Linked DNA regions of Macaca fascicularis. The protein of the gene in region 3 purifies or fractionates together with the protein of the main gene of each other region. This does not show direct contact. Links are inferred from orthologs where the notes say so. Each region holds a gene or a part of one and is shown on either strand. Other genes may lie near its edges.

Region 1 (3,649 bases), on a different chromosome or scaffold from region 3:
TTCCTTTTCTGTTAGGCAGTAGAATATGGCATAATCAGATGAACAGATGTGTTTAGATTCAGTCTAGATTCACTATAATCTTTCACACTACTGGCCTGAGCTGCAGGCTAAATACCTTTCCTGTCTTCTTGATTTACAGACTTCTGCCTCCGTTTTCCAAGGGCATTTTATTCTTTGTAGACAGAGTATGCTAGGTTTTTGTTCATTGATGAATAAGCAAGCTGTAAGCTAGCCACTCTTCCCTCAGGCACTAGTTTTAGGGGTAGAAATAGTCCAGAGGAAAAAAAGCACTGGCAATATTAAGTTTTAGAAGTATAGCAAAGGTTACAAGCTTGAACTATAGAGATGTTTATTGTGACTTTATTGTTAAAATATGTATGCTAAAAAGTAATTTGTTGGAATATGGAGGTTAACATATGTTCTTTAAATATTGTGCACCCAAGTTTTTTCAGTCATCTTATGTTCATTTTACTTTTCTCAAACTGTAGAGTTGCTGATTTCTAAGTTTTTGTGTGATTTAGTTGTAGTTACCTGATTCTTTCTAAACGTGTTGTAATCCTGGTTATTTCACAAGTGCCATAATATACCTCAGCAACTTAGAACTAATTCTGCAAACCTTTTCTACAGAATTTAAGGTTTTATTCATGTGCATGGCATAGAAGATGAATTCTTCCACCTCCACCATGAGTGAAGAGCCTGATGCTCTATCAGTAGTTAACCAGTTACGGGATCTAGCAGCAGATCCATTAAACAGAAGAGCCATCGTCCAGGATCAGGGATGTCTGCCTGGCCTTATTTTATTTATGGACCATCCCAACCCTCCAGTCGTCCACTCTGCTTTGCTTGTAAGTTACCTTTAGTAATTTCAATCTCTGTTTTATTTTTGCAATTAAGGAGATAATTTGGAAAAAGTGCTAGATGACATGGTAAAAAAACTGAAAGAGAGCAATTAATAGTTTGTATTTATGTATGTACAAACATATGTATGTGTGGTCTGTTTACACCAATAGTAACATGCTACATTGTTTTTATTCTTTTGTTTGTTTGTTTGTTTGAGACAGAGTCTCCCTCTGTCATCCAGGCCTGGAGTACAATGTGGCAGGATCTTAGTTCACTGCAGTCTCCACCTCCTGGATTTAAACCATCCTCCCCCACCTCAGCCTCCTGAGTAGCTGGGATGATAGATGCATACCACCATGCCAGGCACATTTTTGATATTTTTGTAGAGATAGGATTTCGCTATGTTGGCCAGGCTGGTCTCAAACTCCTGGGCTCAAGTGATCCTTCCACTTTTACCTTCCAAAATGTTGGGATTACAGCTGTGAGTCACCATGGCTGGCCCTATTTTTATTCTTTAATACAAACTGTAGCATACTCCATGCATGGAATGTTCTACCACTTCCTTTTCATTTAACAATCTTGAGGATTGGATCATATCATACACATAGACACCCAAAGAGGCACTTACTTTGTTTTTATTTTATAACAGCTTTTTAAGATGTAAGCACACAGCATCATACAATTCACTCATTTAAAGTATACAATTAAGTAGTTCTAGTATATTCACAGCGTTGTGTCACCATCACCACAACTTTTTATTTTTATTTATTTTTTGTAACTAAATTTTTTTTTTTTTAGTAGCGATAGGATGTAGCTGTGTTAGCTAGGCTCGTCTCAAACTCCTGGCCTCAGGTGATTCTTCTACCTCGACCTCTCAAAGTGCTTAGATTACAGATGTGAGCCACTGTGCCTGGACCACCACAACTTTTTACCTATTGCTTCCCAGACCCCCCAACTCCCTATCCCTAAGCAAACTATTAATCTACTTTTTGTATGTTTATATTTGCCTATTCTGGCAAAAATGCCTATATATTTTGCATATGAATAGGGCCAAGCATGGTGGCTCACGCCTGTAATCCCAGCACTTTGGGAGGCCGAGGTGGGTGGATCACCTGAGGTCAGGAGTTTGACACTAGCTTGGCCAACATGGTAAAACCCCGTCTCTACTAAAAATACAAAAAAATTAGCCGGGCGTGGTGGTGGGTACCTGAAATCCCAGCTACTCAGGAGGCTGAGGCAGGAGAATCCCTTGAATCCAGGAGGCAGAGGTTGCAGTGAGCCAAGATTGTGCCGTTGCATTCCAGCGTGGGCAGCAAGAGTGAAACTCCATTAAAAAAAAAAAAGTTGTTAAAATTAATGTTATGGGAAATTAATGTTATGGAAATTTAATCTATTGTCCTTTACTTAAGGACTCATGATAAATTCCCCATTTAGTCTAATTTCATAAGTTTGTACAGAAGGCATATAGGCTTTTCCTTTTGGAAAAGTTTTTCTATTTTGCCTTTACAGAATGAAGTTTAGCAGTCAAAAAAGACATTGGTATAAAAGAACAGTAGTAACAAATGGGAAAAATGGCACAGCCCCCAGTCTGGGTTCTATTTCAATAAGAAATGCAATAAGGATGAGAAGAAAGAGGGGGTTGGTCTATAGATAGGGACTTGGGGCTAAAGGAAGTCTTTTTTTTTTTTTTTTTTTAAATAGACTAGAACATGTCTAAATTCAGAGGGCAAGGGCTACTAGAATGGGAGAGGTTTGAGGGGAAGACTCTCATAATTGCAGAAAATAGGAAAGATTTGCTAATAATAAAGTAGTTCAGCAGTGTTGAGGGGCTGATTAGTTTGGTAATACTGAATCGGTATGATTCAGGCCTACTATAGGCTCGGAGAGCCAAGTAGTTGGATTTGTGCAGAGTTGTTACTTGGCCAGGTTAAGTTGGGCAGAATGATTGTGCAAGGGAGTTTAGGGTCTTGGCAGGATTGTTTGAAATGATATACAGTAGGTACTAGGCTGAATAAGGAAGGGAAGTATAAAGTCATGGAGGGACTGAGCTAAGGAGAGGGATCTATGGGTGAAAGTTGCCAAGAGGCTGAAGAAAAGATTTTGTTGTTGTTGTTTTTTCTGTTTTTGAGACAGAGTTTTGCTCTTGCCGCCCAGGCTAGAAAGCAATGGCGCGATCTTGGCTCACTGCAACCTCCGCCTCCTAGGTTCAAGTGATTCTTCTCCCTCAGCCTTCTGAATAGCTAGAATTACAGACCCGCACCATCACACATGGCTAATTTTTATATTTTTAGTAGAGATGGTTTTTCACCACGTTGGCCAAGCTAGTCTCGAACTCATGACCTCAGGCGATCTGCCCATCTTGGCCTCTCAAAGTGCTGAGATTATAGGCATGAGCCACCACGCCTGGCCATCAGGTGTGTTGTTTTGTTTTTGTGATTTCCTTTTTTTTGTCACTGTTAGCTTATTAGTGTACACTTTTGTTTTTATTTTATTTAGTGGTTGCTGTAGGTTTTACAATATGCATCTTTAACTTATTACAGCCTACCTTTAAATGAATCCTACCCTTAACATGTAGTGTAAGAATCGCACAAGAGTATATTTCCATTTCTTCCTCCCATCTTTTGTGCTATTTTTGTCATACATTTTACTTCTACATGTTTAAAAACCTACAGTGTATATATTTTTGCTTTAAACAGTCAATTATCTTTTAAAGAGATTAAAAATTTAAAAACACCTTTTTTTTTTTTGAGACGGAGTCTTACTCTGTCACCCAGGCTGGAGTGCAGTGGCACAATCTCAGCTCACTGCA
Region 2 (4,095 bases), on a different chromosome or scaffold from region 3:
AGCAGTAAACAATATGGACACAGTTCCATTGTTGAGCTTACTTTTTAAAGGTGGAAACTGTGTAATAAGTACACATTATAACATCAGGTAGTGCTAGGAGCTACAAAGTATAACAAAGTAGGATGGGGTAAAGATAGTGATGCAAGGAAGGCCAGAGTAGTGAGAATTTTATTTTGGATCAGGATGCCCTCTCTGAAGGGAAGGTGACATTTGAAAAAACACCTGAAAGGAATAAGCTAAGCAAACATGTGTGAGAAGAGTTCAGGGCAAAAGAAACAACTGATGAAAAGGCAGTGAGGCACATGCTGGAGATTACCAGGAGAATATGAGTGAGGCAGTAGAAAAACGAAATACGAGAAGAATCAGATCAAGGGCCCATGGTAAGCAGTTTAGATTTTATTATGAAAGTGATGGGATGTCTCTAAAGAGCATGACCTCATGTTTGCATGTTTGCCTTTTAAAAAGCCTTTTACTGTATGTCTTACTGCTTTTACTATTCCCTCCTAAAGAATGGACTCTAGGAGGCAACAGTAAAAGCAGTAAGACATTTAAGAAGATGGGGTTGGCTGGGCACAGTGGCTCACACCTATATTCCCAGCATTTTGGGAGGCAGAAGTGGGAGGATCATTTGAGCTCAGGAGATTGAGAACAGCCTGGGCAACACAGAGAGACTCTGTCTCTACAAAAATTTTTTAAAAAATTAGCCAGGGATGGCGGCACATGCCTGTGGTCCCAGCTACTCAGGAGGCTGAGGTAAGAGGACTGCTTGCGCTCGGGAGGTCAAGGCTGCAGTGAGCCATGATTGCGCCACTGCACTCCAGCCTGGGTGACAAAGTGACACTCCGTATCCAAAAAAAAAAAAAAAAAAAAAAAAAGATGGGGTTTAATAAAGTGGAAAGGATCTTGACACGTGAGATATTCTGGATAAGTTGGCACAATCAAATACGATAAGGCTCGAGAGTCATCTGCTTGGGGATTAAAGTTCTGACAGTTGATGTAATCTCAAATTGGAGAGTCTATAGAGACAGGGAGAGATGAGAAGGTGTATATTTCGAGGTACGAAGAAGCAGCAGACTCAGTGAGGGAAAACTAGATGGGACCCAAAATATGACTTGAGAGAAGCCAAAAGTGCAGAGCCTCATAAAGCAGATGTCAAATGCTACAGAATGATTGAGGAGATGGTGAGAATAAACCAAAGAATTTTACAAGATAGCAATTTCAGGAAGTTTAGACATCTGGATTCAGAGCTATAAAAGGGTTCATTTTTTATTACAAAGTTTTAATTAGTTTTCTTATTTCCCAAATGGGATCCCAAAAACTTGACTCTGCATTAACTGAAAAGGAGGTCATCCAGGTGGGCCTGGTCTAATCACACAAGCCTTTTAAATCTGGGTCTAGAGAGGAAAGACCGAAATAAAAGAAATTTGGAAGTTAGAGAGGCAAGATCCTGGTAGCCTGCACGAAAGCAGCCATCCATGTTATGAATGGCCTCTGGAAGCCTTGAGGCAAGGAACTGTGGGTAGGCTGTAGAAGCTGGGAGCAGTGGCTGACAAGAGGCAGCAAGAAAAAAGGGACTTCAGTCGTGTAACTGCAACGGACTGAATTCTGCCCACAAACTGCATTAGCCTGGAAGAGGACCCAGATCTCCAAATGAGAACCACAGCATGGCTAATACTTTGCAGCCTTGTGTGACCTGGAGGGGAGAACACAGATCATCCATGACCAGGCTTCTATCCTACAGAACCCGTAAGGTTCTGCTAAATTTGTGGTTGTTACGTACAATAGAAAACTAACGTAGGTTCGTTCCACTTTCCTATGGAAGGGGTTGCTTCTGTTACCTAGCAGCAAATAGGAAGAGAAGCGAACTTGAAAAAACAAAGCTTGACTTTTATGATCTCTAACTCACTCTTCCTAGGGATTCTGTTCACTTACTGCTTTAGTCACAGTACTTGTTTTGCTATCTACAACATTTTGCCAAAATATCAACTTTCTGATAATCGTGAGCAATGGAAACAGGCTTTTTTATTTTCAATTTTAGAAAGTAACTTTGGCAATTACGCAAAACTAAAAGTAACTGGGTATTTAGGCTTCTTGAATGTCAAAGTAGTCCCAGCGCCTGGAGACACAGATCCCTGTCCTAATCTCAGAAATGAGCCACAAGGTCATGACTCCTGTCTTTCCTTGAAGACCAGGAGTTTCAACTCCACAAAGGAAAATCTTTCGCTTTTGTTTGGATTAAGAATAGTGCATAAGTGTTCCCAGCTGCGAAAAGAAAGGCAGTCCCTCACAGATAATTACAACCTTGACCCCTAAAATGTGGACACTCGCTAGAAGTCCAGGCACCTCCTTATTAAGGATGCAACAAGCCGCGGCTCCGCTCGTCCTGCCGGGAACTGTAGTTCTCCCCCGTCGACCTTCAGCACTAAAAACCTATCGCGCGCCCAACCGGCGACACAGACGCCAGCAGTCAGGATTGGTCCTGGACGGGGGCAGCGCGGCGCTGATTGGACTGCACGCCCTCGAAGCCGCGCCTCCCGCTACTCTCCACACCTCACCCCGCTGCTGCAATAACCTCAAGTCATCCCAGTCTGGCGAACTCCCTGGTGGCTGCCTCGTTGCCAGCCCGGGCCTCTCCCGACGAGGGTAGCCCAGAGACTCGCCTTTGTCCTGGAGGCTAGGCAGGGCCCAAGGCTCCCCCATTTTTCGCTGGCGGTCCTAGGTCAGCCTCCTCACGCGCCCTCGGATGCCCCAGTGCTCACCTGGGCGGCAGCGGTCACACCCGATAACTGACAGGCCCGCAGCATCTCGGTCGAGCGGACGGCACTGCTGCTGGACTCGGGAGCTGCCAAGGCGGCGCGAGTTAAGTGGACGCGTGCTTGCGTGTGTGCGTACCCGCGTCCGCGCCCGGCGCACCGGAAGCGCAGCCGATGCCACTGCGCACGCGCGGCCCCTTCTGCCCGCAGCAACTCGGCGGCTCTTAGAGGGTGGGCTCTGTCCCGGCTGCGGAAACGCCAACGCCGGGCGATTGGTGCGCAGGAGGCGAAAAGGGCGGATTCCTTTTCCGGGTCGCGCTCGGGCTGCAGGTCCTTAGCCCGGAGCTGGGGTTACTAGGTGAACGCGGCTGGAAGGAGAGCGTTCTGAAATCCAGTCTTCAGACTCACGTGGAAAATGGACATCTGTGGCTCTTCAGAGAATTAAAGCAAAAAAGAATCTCACCTGGCTCTGTGAGCTAGATATTTCGTAGGAAGGAGCCTATTTGGCGAAAGTTACGTAAACAATGCAGTTGTCACAGGTTGCGCGTTTGTTTCGTCTGACGGCCCTTCAGGGAGTCATCCTGATTGCTGGAAACGGTGAACGAACACTGTAGGGACCCTTGTGTGGAACGTGTCAAGTGGCACAACAAGGATAGGAACACGGGTCCTTTGGACTCCACAGCTTCTGCTCTTCCAGATTAAACCACACTGCGTTCTCCAAGTTTTTACTGTAGTAATATCATTTTGGCTGCAATTTGTGGATGGGTTGGAAGATGGGAAGTCAGCGCAGAAGCACCGTTAAAAGTATTCCACTGGGCCGGGCACGGTGGCTCACCCCTGTAATACCAGCACTTTGGGAGGCCGAGGCGGGCGGGTCGCCTGAGGTCAGGAATTCGAGACCAGCCTGGCCAAAATAGTGAAACCCCGTCTTTACTAAAAAATACAGAAATTTAGCTGGGCATGCTGGCGGGTGCCTGTAATCCCAGCTACTCGGGAGGCTGAGGCAGGAGAATTGCTTGACCCCGGGGCGGGGCGGGGCGGGGGCGGAGGTTGCAGTGAGCTGAGATCATGCCATTGCACTACAGCCTAGGCAACAAGAGCTAAGCTCCGTATCAAAAAAAAAAAAAAAAAAAAAAAAAAAGTATTCCATTGATTCGATAATCAAAATAAAACGTTAAATATTAAGCATGGTATTAATACTCCATGTATGCTCCAGAATTAATACGTTAGTATTAATATTATTAACATCTTATTGCAATATCGTGGAAACTAACTTTTCTATCTTGTACTGAGTTTGCAAAGTATTCCAAGTCTTAACTGGGTAATTTATTACAGTATGTAT
Region 3 (3,649 bases):
AGGTGGGAGGACTGCTTGAATCCAAGAGCTTGAGACCAGCCTAGGCAACATAGAGAGACCTTTTCTCTAAAAAAACTAAAAAATGAGCCAGACATGTTGGCACATGCCTGTAATGCTAGTTTTTCAGGAGGCTGAGGGAGGAGGACTGCTTGAGCCCAGGAGTTCAAGGCTGCAGTGAACTATGATTGGGCTATTGCACTCTAACCTGGGCAACAGAACAAAACCTCGTCTCTAAAAAAAAAAAAGTAAAATAAAATAGGCCAGGTGCGGTGGCTCACACCTGTAATCCCAGCACTTTGGGAGGCTGAGGCAGGTGGATCACCTGAGGTCAGGAGTTTGAGATCAGCCTGAGCAACATGGTGAAACCGTCTCTACTAAAAATACAAAAATAACTGGGCATGGTGGCATATGCCTGTAGTCCCATCTACTCGGGAGGCTGAGACAGGAGAATCGCTTGAACCCAGGAGGCAGAGGCTGCAGGGAGCCAAGATCACGCCACAGAACTCCAGCCTGGACAACAGAGCAAGACTCTGTCTCAAAAATAAATAAATCAAAAATAAATAAATAAAAAAAATAAACTCCGTATACTCCATTCTAGGACTCCTTCAGCTCTATCTTCCCCTGGAAGAAAGGTATTATTTACCCTCCACCAGTTCTTTTATCTGAGCTCACAAAGACATCACTGCCCCCACCATATAGGAAACGAAGACACTGCTGTTGTTCTACAAGGCACAGGGATACACAGTTCTAGAAGTGTGACATCATGGCAGCAGCAGAGACGACAGGAAGCAGAGGCTGGCTGGGGGATCCGTCTCTGGCATATGTCAATCAACCTGATGATGAGGCAGTCTGTCATTCTCTGGGACAATGGAATGATCCTTAAGTCTGTAAGTGTTTCGGTCCACTGACCAACTCTCCCTGAAAGCACTTTCTCTGCGGCCTTGTGGCATAGGTGAGGGAGGTGTGAGGCCTGGATGGTGCAGCCTGGCCGGGGCTGGGACAAGGGTCCGCCCCCGCAATCCCACCTCTTCCCACCTGCACACTGCCTGGGCTTCACGCCAGTGCTGCACCTGCCCTTGATGTACGCAGTGACCTTGTAGGACAGACAAGACAGTGCCAACCGCCGTGATAAAAAGAACACAGTTCTAGTCTCCTAAGTCAACAAAGACCACCAAAGAGGAGCTGCTGTCTCTCATATTTACCATCTTGGTGTGAGATTACGGAACAGCTTGAGACCAAATAAAGGTCCCTGCAGGTCTCCGGCTCCAAATTCCAACTGTTTGAAAAGGAAAAAGAGAAGGCGTTAGTGGTGTTTTATCTCATAGCAGCAACCCAGGCTCAGGTATGTACCTCTGGGTATAATTCCTTCATTCAATTCACTGGTCTTGCCAGGGCTCTAAAAGAAGGGGGTAGAAGATTGTTAATGTCTCATCTTAACCTTAGCCAAATGGAAATGTCTGCTGCCACAGATCCAAAGGAGACCCAGGTTTCAATGGCACATGTTTCACTGGTGTCCCTCCAAAGAAAAAAACTGCTCACCTCTGATCCTTGCCTCCCAGGCTGAGGTCAGGAGACCAGCCAGCTCCCCACCGCTCCCAGCGCAGCGCCCCCACCTGCAGAGCGCCTGCTGCGGTCAGGTGTGCGCCCCCCACCCCCCCGCCCCTCCGCATGCACTGCTGACTCCTTTTTATTTTCATCCTGAGCCAAATGTCTCCCAGGTGACTGGGGTGGTCCTCAGGGGTCTGACGTTAAAAGCCCAGCAGCAGTTCCACACTCGCATAGCCTTGGAAGTCACAGCTGAGCCTGGCTGCCGTGTTTACTAGTCTGGGTGACTTTCAAGCAACTCTTCAATGTTAATTTGATGCAGCTCAATTTGCTCGGCAGAACTGGCTGTTAAATGGCCACCAATCAGTGAACCATCGCACTGGAGAGAGCACCTGCCTTCTGAATTGTGCAGGAAAAAGAGCCCACAGGCTTTTTGCTCAAGGGAACACTGAGTTTCAGAGGCTGGATTTCTAGAAGTTGCTGTCTCATAGGAAACCTGAGGAAGACTGACAGGACTTCTCAGATATAAGACCTATTTATCTTTTTTTTTTTGAGATGGAATTTTGCTCTTGTCCCCCAGACTGGAGTGCAATGGTGCGATCTCGACTCACTGCAACCCCCGCCTCCCGGGTTCATGTGATTCTCCTGCCTCAGACTCCCGAACAGCTGGGATTACAGGCAGGCGCCACCACGCCCAGCTAATTTTTGTATTTTTAGTAGAGACGGGGTTTCACCATGTTGGCCAGGCTTATGAAACCTATTTTTCTTTTAGGACCAGTCAACTGATGGAAGTTTGACACTTGGTACCATTTTACAACAACAGGGCCCCCTGGGTGAGTTTGAGGGTGCGCTTTGAGAGTGTAAATGTTCAGAAATAAGACTTTGCATGGACAACACAACTCAGCCAACAGACATTCTCACCTCTCCCCATCCCTTTGCCGAAGTTACTCGTCTGAGCGCAAAGTTAATGGAACCTCCTCCATTTCCATTCTGGGTTGAGAGGCTTCCAGAGAGGATGGCTGTGTCTGTCGCTGTCAAGGGTGCCTAAAAATGATATTTGCTGGTAATGAATGAATCAAAACAACAGGAAGTGCCAGTGGCAGCAGCCTAAAGAACGCACTGTGAGTCCAAGGCCAAAGGTGCAGACGACTCCTCTGTTCAGAAGCACACGTGGATGCAGAACTGCCGCAGCAGCTTGACTTTTCTTTCGCTTTGTTATTTGGTCTGCATGTGACCACAAGGATAATCTGCTTTGCAAAAGCTTTAATGGGCAAATTTCACACCACCAGGGGAAACAGGGGCTGCCTGTCCCAGCGGTATCAGCACAGGGTGCTTCGCTGTGCGCCTTCCCTCACGGTACACCTGGGGCCTCTCCTGTCCTTGCTTGCCATCAGGGTTCTGGGGGGACTGGAGACTTTTCCATGGCTGTATTCTGTATCAGCTGACTCAGGGAGCTCCAAGAGGGGGCAACTTTCCCCAAGTTAGGACTCCATGTTGTTGGCTGATGCAACGGAGAATAAATTAATGAGCTGAGGAGACAAAGATCTACTATAAACACTCAGGAGAATGGCCTGACCTTGCCACATTCAAATAGTGGGCAGAATGGTGACATTTTCGTGTGCCCAGGGCTCAGGATGGGACCTGCTATAGCCTTGCGGCACGTAGCAGAATTTGCCTTAAAACTAAAATCAGTGGTTAGAATGATCCATGGAGGTCTGCTTTCTCTCCCAGAACCCCATGACCTTGGGCCTCTACTTCTCCCAGACCATTAACACCCTCTGCTGGAAAGGCCCAAGACCTTGGCAGCCAAGTGCCCCAGCCCACACTCCTGCTGGCTCACATGCCAGCACGGCGGTCACACACGGCTGGGACTGAAGCGCTTTCTTTTTTAAGTGGCTAATTGCATCCTTTCATAAATAAAGATGAGAAAAACCCTGGACAGACTCTCGTTCCAGCTGCTTGGTGTGCTGTGCCTCATTAACTCGAGCCCTTGCAGTACTCGGAGAGGTGGTTGTGTGCTTTACCTCAATGGACTGGGATATGTGCATTTTATTAATTTCAATCTGCGGAAAGCTACTGCCGGACACATCTTCATACTCCTCAT

The links.
Region 1: the proteins of DNAJC11 (region 3) and ARMC1 purify together in Homo sapiens (affinity purification with mass spectrometry; 4 studies listed by BioGRID and IntAct, counting the BioPlex papers as one, with this or other methods). This does not show direct contact. The link is inferred for Macaca fascicularis from reciprocal best matches to the Homo sapiens genes DNAJC11 and ARMC1.
Region 2: the proteins of DNAJC11 (region 3) and IMMT purify together in Homo sapiens (co-immunoprecipitation; 3 studies listed by BioGRID and IntAct, with this or other methods). This does not show direct contact. The link is inferred for Macaca fascicularis from reciprocal best matches to the Homo sapiens genes DNAJC11 and IMMT.

Annotation. Positions count from the first base shown.
Region 1 is NC_088382.1:75,597,130-75,600,778, reverse strand, and holds part of ARMC1 (armadillo repeat-containing protein 1), read left to right. Parts: intron 1-627; 5' UTR 628-662; coding exon 663-845; intron 846-3,649.
Region 2 is NC_088387.1:35,382,744-35,386,838, reverse strand, and holds the start of IMMT (MICOS complex subunit MIC60), read right to left. Parts: upstream 2,887-4,095; 5' UTR 2,805-2,886; coding exon 2,760-2,804; intron 1-2,759. UniProt on the Homo sapiens protein: Component of the MICOS complex, a large protein complex of the mitochondrial inner membrane that plays crucial roles in the maintenance of crista junctions, inner membrane architecture, and formation of contact sites to the outer membrane.
Region 3 is NC_088375.1:228,219,015-228,222,663, reverse strand, and holds part of DNAJC11 (dnaJ homolog subfamily C member 11), read right to left. Parts: coding exon 3,570-3,649; intron 2,590-3,569; coding exon 2,467-2,589; intron 1,277-2,466; coding exon 1,203-1,276; intron 1-1,202.